Regions from separate parts of the Mus musculus genome. Here regions 2 and 3 are each reported to be linked to region 1. Evidence: microRNA targets listed by miRTarBase, many of them from high-throughput screens and not tested one by one. Region 1 holds a microRNA gene; each other region holds the end of a gene's coding sequence.
Evidence for each region. The annotated mature microRNA mmu-miR-380-5p reads AUGGUUGACCAUAGAACAUGCG and lies in region 1 at 1,792-1,813, shown strand. An mRNA with a match to its seed (bases 2 to 7 or 8) in the 3' UTR can be bound and repressed. Matches are read on the target gene's strand: a 7mer-m8 pairs with bases 2 to 8, a 7mer-A1 pairs with bases 2 to 7 and ends in A, and an 8mer does both.

Region 2: miRTarBase lists Fundc2 as a target of mmu-miR-380-5p. Seed matches in the 3' UTR shown: 7mer-A1 at 1,952-1,958.
Region 3: the mRNA of Yme1l1 is a reported target of mmu-miR-380-5p. Seed matches in the 3' UTR shown: 7mer-A1 at 2,484-2,490.

The regions. Positions count from the first base shown.
Region 1 is chr12:109,710,015-109,714,263 of GRCm38, forward strand. Mir380 (microRNA 380) reads left to right here and starts at 1,789; the gene lies at 1,789-1,849. It overlaps Mir411 (microRNA 411), which reads left to right and starts at 161; the gene lies at 161-242. It overlaps Mir299a (microRNA 299a), which reads left to right and starts at 624; the gene lies at 624-686. It overlaps Mir299b (microRNA 299b), which reads right to left and starts at 679; the gene lies at 631-679. It also overlaps Mir1197, Mir323, Mir758 and Mir329.
Region 2 is chrX:75,393,693-75,397,941 of GRCm38, reverse strand. It overlaps Fundc2 (FUN14 domain containing 2), which reads right to left. Exons shown (of 5, transcript NM_026126.4): 5 at 784-3,632. The coding sequence ends at 3,555. Among named protein-coding and RNA genes, the nearest start is that of Fundc2, 13 kb to the right of the region's middle.
Region 3 is chr2:23,196,148-23,200,396 of GRCm38, reverse strand. It overlaps Yme1l1 (YME1-like 1 (S. cerevisiae)), which reads right to left. Exons shown (of 19, transcript NM_013771.5): 19 at 1,137-3,509. The coding sequence ends at 3,366. Among named protein-coding and RNA genes, the nearest start is that of Potegl, 9.2 kb to the left of the region's middle.

The sequences.
Region 1 (4,249 bases):
TTGCTGGTGTCAAACCTGACATGAAGATGAGACTCTTGGCTTTTGTGTGCCTGCCGCATGATGCATGCTTTGTGCCCAGCCAGACTCAAGATTCCACCAGCTCAATGGCCCAGAGGGCTTCCTGGACGTGCCCTCAGCCTTTGTCCTCGGCGTCTCTGTGTGGTACTTGGAGAGATAGTAGACCGTATAGCGTACGCTTTATCTGTGACGTATGTAACACGGTCCACTAACCCTCAGTATCAAATCCATCCCCGAGGCCCCTGGAGAAGATGCTGTCTTCGGGGAGACGCCAGTAGACTCATCATCAGGGCTTCTCCATGATGCTGGAAGAGATGGTTTTCAATATGGCGTGTGTTCTTTCCTGCATGATGGGAAATGACATAATCTCCCCCTTCCTCTGCTGAGCTCTGCCTTGGGAACTCTTGCCATCTCTGGGGAGGAGACCACAAAGCTTTCTGGGATCAGTGCTCTTCGTGACCTCAGTGACAGGGGTGTCTAGGCGACTCTTGGTTAGTAGACTCCATGACCTGCTTCTTCTCAACACCATCCCTGAAGAGGTGTCCTGAGGCAACCTGGCAGACATGAACCTTCTTACAGCTGTCCTTGCTGTCACGCGGTACTTGAAGAAATGGTTTACCGTCCCACATACATTTTGAGTATGTATGTGGGACGGTAAACCGCTTCTTGGTATCCAGCCCAGCCATCCAGTCCATACCATCCTCGAGCAAGCCTGAAGTGAGAGAAGAAACGTTGTTTTGGCTTGCTCTCTACATCGGGCTGCTTGGCCAAACATCCCTCTGCTTTTTGTGTGCTTTCTCTGTTAATTCATGTGGCAAGGTGTTCCTGTCAGCTTCAGTGCAGCCCTTAAGGGCTTCTTCAAGGATGATGACAACCTCCAGGAAGGTGTCCTACATCCCAACTGGGCATGCTCCCTCCCTCCTTAGGACTTGAAAAAGTGGCAATTAGCTCCACAGATGCTCATCATCAAGGGATGCTGCGTGTTTTCATCATCTGCAAAGCTATCATCAGATGCCTTCAAGACATTATGCCCATAGAAGGACAGCTAGGGCTACATGATACAGTGCAAAGACAGATGCATGAAGACACAGTCCCTGTTTCCACTGATGCTTCGTATATAGTATCTTTTTTTCCATATCAAGTCTAGCCTTCTAGAGGAAGATGACCCAGCCTGGCTCCTCCATGTATGCTTACAGATCAAAGTTGCTTCTTGGCTCACTTCTTCTTACCTCCAGCCCAGCCTTGGAGAACTTGCTGAAGATGCTGCTAGCCTCAGAGACAGGGCTCTGGTTCTTGCATCAGCAATGACCTCACGGTACCTGAAGAGGGATCAAGCAAACTGCATGTGTATTATTAACACCATTTGTAACCTGGCCTACTCTTTTCAATATCAACTTCAGCTTTGAAGGTTTCCAAAGAGGCCCCATTAACCTTGGGGGTGGGGGGGCAAGGCAGAAGGACAAATGCCTTGGGGTAGAGGTTGTCCATGCTTCTTGCTTTACTTACAGCGCATGTTAATTTGGTCCACCTTCCCATAATAGTGAATGCGCCTTGGGGGCTTCCTGTGAACAATATTTCCTTAAAGGCACAGTGCTAGTTACGGGGTCTTCTCTTCGCGTCCTTGCAAACTTCTCTTTGCTATATTCTCTGCATCTGCAGCAGGCAATGCATGGTGGTCTCTTTTCAACATTGCATCTAGGGTTTCCTGGAAGTGATAATCATGAGGAAAGAAGCCAGCTCCTGCACCACCCTCTCTCCATGGTACCTGAAAAGATGGTTGACCATAGAACATGCGCTACTTCTGTGTCGTATGTAGTATGGTCCACATCTTCTCGTTATCAAAGTCATTCGTGAGGGTTTTCCAGAGACCGAGCCAACTTCATGGGAGATATCCTGTCCTGGCTTCAGCACAGTACTTGGGGAGATGGTAGACTGTCGAGTGTGTGCGTTAATTCCAGCATGTACAGCATGGTCCACCACATCTCTGCATCAGCCGGTCACCAGGGGCTTTCTGAAAGCCATACCAATTGAGAGTAGGGCTCAGGCGGCAGACCCTATCCAACACAGATTACCCAGTGCTTGGCTACAGGCCATGTTCATTACCTACGACTCTGGCCATTTGATCCAAAGCCAATATTTGGCACCCAGCCCAGCCTTACAGGGCATCCTGGAAGTCATAGTGGCATTAAACATGAGTTTGTGGCCATTGCCACACATGCCGATTGCTGGTAGTTTGTGACACTCATTGAGAAGGCATTTTGGAGGTAACACCAAATTAAGTAAAGTGAGCTGGAATCAGCCAGCGTTACCTCAAGGTATTTGAAGATGCGGTTGACCATGGTGTGTACGCTTTATTTATGACGTAGGACACATGGTCTACTTCTTCTCAATATCACATCTCGCCTTGGAAGACTTCCAGGAGGTGACATCTGCTTTGAGGAAGAGCCAGTGTCCCGGTCTTCCTACTGCTGCTGCTTGGTACTTGGAGAGAGGTGGTCCGTGGCGCGTTCGCTTCATTTATGGCGCACATTACACGGTCGACCTCTTTGCGGTATCTAATCCCGCCTTGCGAGCTTTCCTGGAGCTAACACCAGCTGTGGGGTGGGGACACTAAATGTGTGTGCTAGCGCAACCCAGCCAGCGGGTTTGTCTTTTCTTGTGTCTGACAATAACTCTTGTGTGGCAGCCTTCTTCTCAGCAAATTTCTCTGGCTTGGCAGCTTCGTGGGCAGGGTGACTTGCAGACCAGGAAAGTGGCATCGACATGTGATACACGTGTGGGTGCGTGAGGTGGTTGACCAGAGAGCACACGCTATATTTGTGCCGTTTGTGACCTGGTCCACTAACCCTCAGTATCTAACCTTCCCTTGGAGAACTTCCTGGAAGAGATCTCAACTTTTGGGGACAGAGGCAATAAGCCAGCTGTACGCTGTTAGACTTGGAGACAGCATCCTCAGTACTTGCAACATATGTGCCTGTTATGGTAGTATTGGATGGGCTTCCAATGCTGTCCTATACTTGGATCCCTTCCTTGATATGGGGCCATCCAAGTTCAAGAAACGTACCATGTTGTCAGACATGACCAGGGTGTGTGTATGCCATTTATATATGGCACAGGTCGCAGGTCACCTTAGCACACTTGCATGCTAAATCTGTGGGAGGAATCATCTTTGGTTTGGGGGCATCTGTGCCTTTCTGTGGTTACCCAAAATGGTGGTAAGTCCTATAGCCAGTCTCTACTGCGCCACTGCTCTCTGGTTGTGACATAACTTCAGGATCATGCCATGGAGGTCTGCTGTACTGGGGCATGTGATGGGATGGCTGTCAGATATATATCAACTAATGGCTTGCTTGAGCACTTTGACTAACATCCAGTGTGCAACCCTGCATTCAACAGGCCTGCCAGGTCTGAAGGTCACGTTGGGGAATTACCGAGGTAGTCTTGTCAGTGTTCGCTTCTGGTACCGGAAGAGAGGTTTTCTGGGTCTCTGTTTCTTTGATGAGAATGAAACACACCCAGCTAACCTTTTTTTCAGTATCAAATCCCATCTTGGAGGCTTCGTGGTCCAGATCCCAGTCTCAGGGAAGGATGGTCCTGTCAGCATCCAGCCAGGGGACAGGAATAACTGGTTCTCCACAAAGCCAGCGAGTGGATTATCGTTCTGAATGGTGTCCTTTGTCCTCTAAACCCTCCCAGGCCTGCCAGGTCTGAAGGTCCAGTTTGGGAAGGTGTCATTGTTATTGTTAACTGAGGATGTGGAAGAGGGGTTTCTGTGTTTGAAACACATTTGGTCAACCTCTCTTCCCATCAGAACAAACTATGGAGGCCTTCTGGTCCATACCTCAGCCTCAGCTGAGGACACACTAATAGTTATGAACAAGTGAGTGACGGACAAAACCCATCCCATACATCAGATTTCTGTTGCCTGTGCTTCTAACCTTCAGTATCTTGTCCATTCTCAGGAGGACTTCTCAACCAATATGGTGTTCCAAAGTTGGGGAAGATGGCAGCCACCGAGGCAACTCTACCCCAGGTCATCACAGGTAGGTTGCACCCACTTTGCTTCTAACAGGTTAGACACAGCCACCCCCACACATGTCCAGCATGCTTTGGAGGCACGGTGATGGGCTTTTAATCAGCCAACCCCTGCTATAGGACTGTCTATTGTAGAGAACACCCACTGTGTCAGATGGTACCTAGATCCATGCTATTCACACACACCCACATCCTT
Region 2 (4,249 bases), not on the chromosome of region 1:
TTTGCTGAATCCATTTGAATTATGTCTAGTCTGTCATAATCTATGAGACATTAACTTCCCAGATCCAGTAGCAAGGGCTCTGGCCCAAATGACGGGGCATACGGGGGAGTCAAAAACCTCAAAACTGCTTACCAATGTCTAGAGTGTTGAGGGGTCATGCCAAACAAGGGGTCATTTGAAGGAGTCTTGTTAGCCTGTTATAAGAATGATCACAAACAATGGGTGGGCCTACATCCCCTGGGTTTCTGGTCAAAAATAGTATTACAGAGCCTTGCGTAGAGTAGAAATGTTGTAATCTATCCATTGAGCCCACACAGGCATGCCAGAAAAGAAAGTGCCTCTGATTCTACCCCTGGGCCTTCTGTCTAATGGAGAATATCATAAGGATTGCAACTCTGTAGCAGCATCCTCATCTTACCCTATCTCTTATGGGAGGTGCATTTGGTCCAAAGGTTGTCCAGAGTGGTAAGGATGCAGGGCAGAGCCATAGTGCCCTTGAGGGGTACCAGAAGTGAACCAGGAGCTATAGAGTAGTGATGGAAGTAATGTTACTGCATTTCTGCCAGCAAGGGGAAGTAAAGATACCAACACAGTTTTAAACACCAAGCTTCTCAGTATCTTACATCAAGGAAATTCAACTCTATCACCTCTGGTAAAGGGGCTATCATTTTATTGGATTTTGGGTATTTGAAAAAAAAAATGTGCCCTGCCTAACAGGTCTTGCTAATTGTCTTATTTTGGGTTTCTATTTCTGTGAAGAGACACTATGACCACAGCAACTCTTATAAACGAAAACATTTAATTGGGGTTGGCTTACAGTTCAGAGGTTTAGTCCATTATCATTATGGTGGGAAGCATCTATCATCTAGGCAGGCAGACACAGTGTTAGAGAAAGGACTGAGCTTTACATCTGGATCAGTAGGCAAGAGAATGAACCACTAGGCCTTGCTTGATCTTCTGAAACCTCAATCCCACTCCCAGTGACAAACTTCCTCCAATAAGGTACACCTACTTTCAACAAGGACACACCTCCTATTAGTGTCATTCCCTATGAGACTATGGGGGTCATTTTCATTGAAAACATTAACACTAATCAAAACCAAATGTATTCAATAGTGTAACTGCCTCACCCTGGTAACATTTAGGTTGTGCATGGAAAGACAGCTACCTGCTTTTTTCAGAAAATGTAATCTCCCATTTAAACTCAAGCCTGCTTGGCTATTCTGTTCTCACAATGTTGGTGATTGAACCCAGGCCCTCACAAACACTAGGTAAATGCTTTACCACTGAGCTACATCCCCAGTAATCTCCCATTTAAGATGAAGCAAAGATGCTGACTCAATGAGCCCTCAATAGAGGTTCCCCAAACTGCTTGAGGCTACTTCACTAACCACTGACCTAAACTGGAGCTTGAAGTGTGCTAATTGTGACTAATAACCCTCTGCACCACCTCTACACAAACACAAGTGGAGTCTGACCAACTTGAGGATAGAATTATAGATTTTATTTCAGACCAGGGTAGAATGTGAGTCTAGACCATTACCTATTATAACCTTTTGAAGGAACTCCAGTCCACTAGTCTATTAGTTGTAACCCCTATTAATCAGAAAGAAAGCAGATGGATCAGAAGTCAGCTACCAACCCACTAGAGAGATACTAGATGACCACTCCTCACCACATACCCAAAGGGGCATTGCAGTAGCTTTTGCTCTCACCATGCCAATGATACTTAAGACACAGGGAGAACAACATGGCTACATCAAGAATCACCATAAATGGCACAACCCCAAGAAGAATACAAAGAACTATAAAACAGATGATAGCACACAGGTGTCAATAAATATATTGTACATACAAAGAGGATTTTAAATACTGCATGGTTTTGACATTAACCATTATTAATTTTTCTGTAATAAAAAGGTATTATGATTTTTTTAAAAGTTTTATACTTTTGGTTGTGAGCCTAGCCTTTAATGGCTAAGCCATCTCTCCAGCCCTTTTTTAAAGTTTTAAAACAAAAAAATATTTAGATTTTTAGTATTGAATACATATGGCAAACAATAAAATGGCAGGTATATTATAATAATTGATAAAAAATACAATTACATGATTGCTATAGGCAAGCAATGGATACTTGGGGAAATCACTGTACTCTCTTTATGTTTCCACAGTAAATAGTGAAAAATCATCTTCAAATTTTTGAGAAAAATATATACCAAGGCTGGTTATACTACCATGTAAGGAAAGATGATTAATATGTATTACAAGTAGAATAACTTATATTGGCTCAAATAAAATCAAAACGTAGTGAGGAAATGCAAATAGGTGAATCCTAATTAGTTTTACACATCCACTGGTAGTTTCAATTTTCAAAAGTATGTCAATGTTAAGGTATGTCAAAAAAGTAATTATGCTTAATGTATGACCTTAAAAATATACTATTGCACAAAGGATCATCTACATATCTAAGAATTCATTTGAGGTAAACCTAACCTTTAACGGGAAGCTTTCTTTATACAATTAATATATTCAAAAATATTTGAAATCTATTAAGCAGTAAGCCCTGTGGGTATAATGAAGATGATAGAAGACTTAACTTCTGGAAGATGCTTTTGTAGTTGGAGTTGAGCTCATGGTAATAGCTATTATGGAATAATGTAAAGTATACATGGATTTTTATATTAAGCAATATTTCTGATGGAGATTGCATTTGATGAAAATAATTTATTACACATATGCTATTCTTATTCTGAATGCCTGGAACATCTCTTTAAAATTTTTGCTTAAGGGACTGGAGAGATGCTCAGCAGTTAAGAGCACTGGTTGCTCTTCAAGTGGTCCTAAGTCCAATTCCCAGCAACCACATGGTGGCTTACAACCATCTGTAATGGGATTTGGCACAGAGTTGAACATGCAGATAGAGTACTCGTATGTAAAAGAAATACATTTCAAATTCTTGCTTAAATGTTGTATTTCATGAAGTTCTTACAGCTGGTTTCCATAAAGACCCACCTACCATATATAATACTTATATTACTTCATGCATTGTTTGCAGAAGTTCATTTAATATTTTTAGTGTTGGTACTTACACTGCCATTTTGGCAACATAATTATAGTAAGTATAAATACCTCTCTTTCTATAGCCTAAAACCAATTTAAAAAGAAAGCATACACCAAGATACCAAAATTTTTTCATGCTTAAAGGCAAATGTATTTGGTTCCTTTTCATGTAACATGTAATAAGGTAACAAATTGAGTTTGGAAAAGGATCTTACATAGGGGAAAAGGAACATTCTTGTTAAGCTACACACCAACCAAGTAAGGAGGGTACTGGAAGAGTTAACACCTACTGTCTCTTCCAACGTGTTAAATTGAGAAGGCCTGAGAAGACCTTGCACCAGGAGAAGCCTATTAAAGCCATTCAGATTTGCTACAACAGGGAGGAAGGCACAGGAGAAGATGAGGAAGAGGAGTGCCGATTGTCCTATGTTGGAGTGTAGAAGCTGCTGGCAAGAAACAAACAACTATAAAAATAGAACAATGAAGTGAAGTTCTTAGGATGCCATGCCAAGCAGAAAGCCTCCAAAAAATCCTCCAGTCACTAGAACATTCTTCTTTACAAATGATACAACCTGAAAAACAGAAGATTTGATACTAAGTTACTTTACTACAAAACTTCCTATTCATCTAAGGTTTAGTACATACATGGATAGGCATTCTGTATGGCTATCTTATCATTTTATTATTCTCCTGACTACTTCAGGAGAAATATGAAATAATACATATCCAACATTCTGACCTAATCATTTCTTTTTGTTTTTGCATTATGTGGTGTGTGTGTAATGTGTTTATTTATTGTACATACATATATATGAATATGTGCACATACGTATGAAGGGCCAAGATTGATAGGTGTCTTCCTGGTTCACTTACATTATATACTGAGGCAGGATCTCTTGCTGGACCTAGAGATTACGATGCAGGCTAGCCAGCTTGCTCTGGTGATTCTTGCCATAGCCCTGGGACTGAAAGCAGACCACCTCACCCACCTGGCCTCACATGAGTGCTAGGAATCCAAAACTGTGGTCTTCAGACTTGCATGGCAATCACTTTACCCACTAAGCCATATCCCCAGGCCAGGCCAAATCAGTTCTTGAAGTTAAGCACTTTCCAACGATGTAAGCCATTTGCACTGTTACATTCCCATCACTCTCCGTCCATCCTCCTTGCACCATTATGCAAAGTACAC
Region 3 (4,249 bases), not on the chromosome of region 1:
CGATGGAGACATTTTATAACTTGAGGCCCCTCTTTCCAGTTGACTCTAGTTTGTGTCAACTTGATAAAACAAACCCCTACAAGAACAGTTGGTTCTCTGCTTGTACCATGTGTATGGCTTAATGTCATCAGTCCCAGCAGCAAATGCTTTACACTTGAGTCCTTTCACTGGCTCCTGATTTTTTTTCATTTTCATTTGTTAGGGGGCTTTTTTGTTGCTGTGTTAATTTCTCACAATTTTATTGCTACTGCTCTCTACCACCATTTTATGCTTCACTCACAGTATGTATAAACTCAAAAGATTAAAAAAATTACTTAAATCTATTAAATTGCTCTAACTTCAAAATTACTACCTTGAGGTTTATATTTTCAAAAGGGGTGCTATATATTCTTTGCCACTGACAGTTAAAATTTCCCCTTTTATCTAGTAGTACCTTGACTTGCATCTTGATTTGCTATTTTTCTAATTGTTTCTGGCCTACTGCCTGCTCACTGAAGCTGTGCTGAATCCAACCTCTGTAGCCTAACTTTGCAAAATGGCATTCCATAGTAAGCCTCCCCAGGTCTTCTGTTAAGATTCTTAAGGTCACGATCACTGGAGCTGCAGAAGAACTCTAAACCTAGAACTACCGTGGCTGGATGTGGCATTCAGAGGGAACGGAATCAAGACTGCCGAGGGCTGAGGCATACCTGTTGCTATAGGTTACTCTGAGCTGATGGCCATTACAGTCAGTCACCATCTCACTGTCACCACGGGAAAGTGTCCGTGGGGATCTGTGCAAGCCCAGTATTAGAGTCTGAAACCGGATTCTGTACTTTCTTCCTTTGTCCCCACGGAGAGCATGTATCTTCATGCTCTGCTGTTGAGATGTGGGCAAGTGTAACCTAAGTAATGCACAGCTGTCTTTCTATCATTCCCAACTTAGGATGCTGCAACCAGGCTTGCTTGATACACGTCAAGGTATTTTCACATACAATGAATGATTTAAGTGGGTGTTCATGCTGGGAGATAGAAACAGGAGAGACCAATTCTCATAATTCAATTCAGGCATTTGGATGGCATTGAATATGAGCTCAAAAAAGCTTAAAATTCTTTTCTAAATTCACTCTCCTTAAAATGCTTCAGTTGGAATGTGATAAAATATATCAGGATAAATTCATTTTTATTTGAAAAGAGTCAACTACAAACCTCAACGAAACCAAAACAACCAACCATTCTATGACTCCAGGAATTAACAAGAGACCTACAAAAAAGTATGACTTGTTTCTTCATGAAAATCACTAAATTTAACCCAGAACATGATTCTTTGGTGGTCCTGCCAACTCAGGGCAGCTCCTAGTCCCAAGTTCAAACCAGGGTGAAGAAAGACCCTGTAAATAAGATATGTGTGCCAAGAATGATGCACCCAGAGGCTCAGGTGGAAGGATGTCAGTTGGAGGCTAGCCTAGGCTACAAAACAGAACTTTCTGGAAAGGACTCCAAACTAAACAAACAACAAAAAACAAGCAAACAACAAAAGAACCCACCCCAAGAAAAATATAAAAAAGGCTTATCCTCATTTCACCAGAGAACTCAGCTGCCTTGATGTAGTACTGACTAAATCGGATCGCAATGATCAGCCGCTTACTAGCCTAAAACTGTTGGCTACTCTGCAAGATACAATCAGTGTGATCTTTCTGTGATATGAGAAACCCAGAGGACGTTGATAATCACTTCATGAAATATCCTAGGTTTACCAGACATACAGAGCAGAAAATTCTCCAGCTAATTATATCTACACTTGGTTATTAAAGTCTTTGCATACACACAAAGTAGAAGCAATAAAACCAACTAAACTCAAAAGCCACAGTAAACTTGCTATATAATTTACTGAGACTGGGATTCAATTTGGATGTCGATAGTGAAACAGCACTTTTATGTTGAATAGTGATGAAGCTGAAACTTTACATAATACAAGATACAAAACTGTGTAGTCACTTTGAATTTTGAAGGCTTGAAAAAAATTGTCCTAAAACCTAATTGAGGTAATTACACAATTTTAAAAAGGGGGTGGGGGGGTCTTTGGTATCTATATTTACAATGGATATGTTTTATAACATGAAAATTACAGCTCTATGGGACTGTAAAAATGTCTGAAGTCAGGTTAGATAAAACACCGATGTTTTTCCATATGTGTATGCATGAATATGTAGAGAATGAGGGCACAAGAGAGAAAGAACAAACACATGAACATGAGTGACAATGGAGACAGCAAAAAGCAGTGAAAATTAAAACCTGTTGGTCTTAATCAATATAATGGAGCTCTATCAACATTTTTCACTTTGAAATTGTGAAATTTGTGTGTATCAAAAATTTAACATTAAAAAAGGTCAAAATATCATGTAACAAGGTCCCTTTAATTATATCTATCTTCTTTAATAAGGACCATGAACATCCTCAATAAGAAAACAATGTAATTTTAATAGTTCCTTCAAGAATGTAACTTGGTTGTAACACCAATAAAATGCACTCACACTATGGTCTACTGATCTGAATATGAAATTACCTTGTAAACCCTATAATGTGCAGATGGAACAAGCCTTCCAATTCTGACAAGGCGACAGAGAAAGATCATTTTTGAAAGGAATTGAGTTTTTGGTTTCATTTTGATTTTGAGATTCAATGTAATTATACAGATATTCAGAATATAATGTTACTTGTTTACTTCATAAAATATTGTTGTTCTGAAACAAATCTTGTCAGTGAGATAGTAATATTTGAAAAAATGGGCATACATGCTGCATTTTTAATCCATTACAATCATTTAAATTCTGAGTATATCGTCATATTTACAATTCAAATAGTTTCTTTTAAAGGCCATTTTACAAGGTCAATCAAGAACATAATTAAGTACATCTCAATGGCATTTCTACTAATGTAAGTAGAAATGATTTATCCACAGCATTGTTTTCCCCACAGAGAAATGTTACTATCAGGAGATGGTAGCTTTTCAAATTTACCTTCCAAAAAAAAAAAAAAAAAAAAAAAACCTTACCAATAGATAAAGGCACAATTTTTACTCACTTGGAGTAATTACCCACAAAATGATTGCTTGCTTTCAACATGATTGATTGACATTTTTCAATGTCTTTCTTTAATCCTGACAGTTCTTTATTTATCCTTTCACGTATTTGCTATGAGTTACTAATCTCCAATGGTATCATCACAGGAATAACCAAAATCAAATAATGGGACAGAAGATTGACAAAGTGTTTCACATCCTTGAATTATATACCAAGTCAGGAGTGGGGGTTGAAAAATGTTGCAAAGGAGACTGCAGGACTAAGTATATTCTTGTAATAAAACCAGCAATATCAACAGAGTTATCATCTCACTTCCAATTTCTTTCCCTCAAGAACAATTTGAATCTCTTTGGCATCCAAAGTCTCATAGGTCAGCAATGCTTCTGCCAGGTTCTTATGTTCTTTCGCATGTGTTTTCAAGATATGTTTTGCTCGTTCATATGACTCCTGAAAGAGAAAAACAAGTCATATAAGAAAGTATAGAGATGCAAAAAACATAGGTAAGAAAAATATAAAACTAATGTGGTTTAAAAAACATGTTGATTATGGCCTAGTCGGCCATCACTGGAAAGAGAGGCCCATTGGACACGCAGACTTTGTGTGCCCCGGTACAGGGGAACGCCAGGGCCAAAGTGGGGGAGTGGGTGGGTAGGGGAGTGGGGGTGGGTGGGTAAGGGGGACTTTTGGTATAGCATTGGAAATGTAAATGAGCTAAATACCTAATAAAAAATGGAAAAAAAAAAAAAACATGTTGATTTATACTTTAAAAAAGCATTTAAAAGTTTTGTTTAAAATGCAAATTATTTGTACATAATATAAATAGTATATGCAATGCATTACAATAGAAGAATTCAGAAAATGTTTCAAAAGAGCCTTTGCCTTTCCAAAATGTTCATTTTGTCAGTTTTAACTACTAAGGCATTTCTTTTTTTTACCCCCCAAAGCAGCTAAAGCCTGGCTGTGTCCTTGGAAACCTGCTTTCCTGAAGTTCTTACTCTCATGCTAGATGCTTCCCTGTTCCCACCACCATTTCCCTATCATCAGTAGCCTACCTCTTGCAGAAAACACTACTCCCAAGGAGTAAACCATCTGAATACTGCTACCAAAGCCCCTTCACGCCATCTAATTAATACTGATTACATTCCTCATTCAATAGGCACTGCGCCTCAGTGAGGTCTTTTTACCTT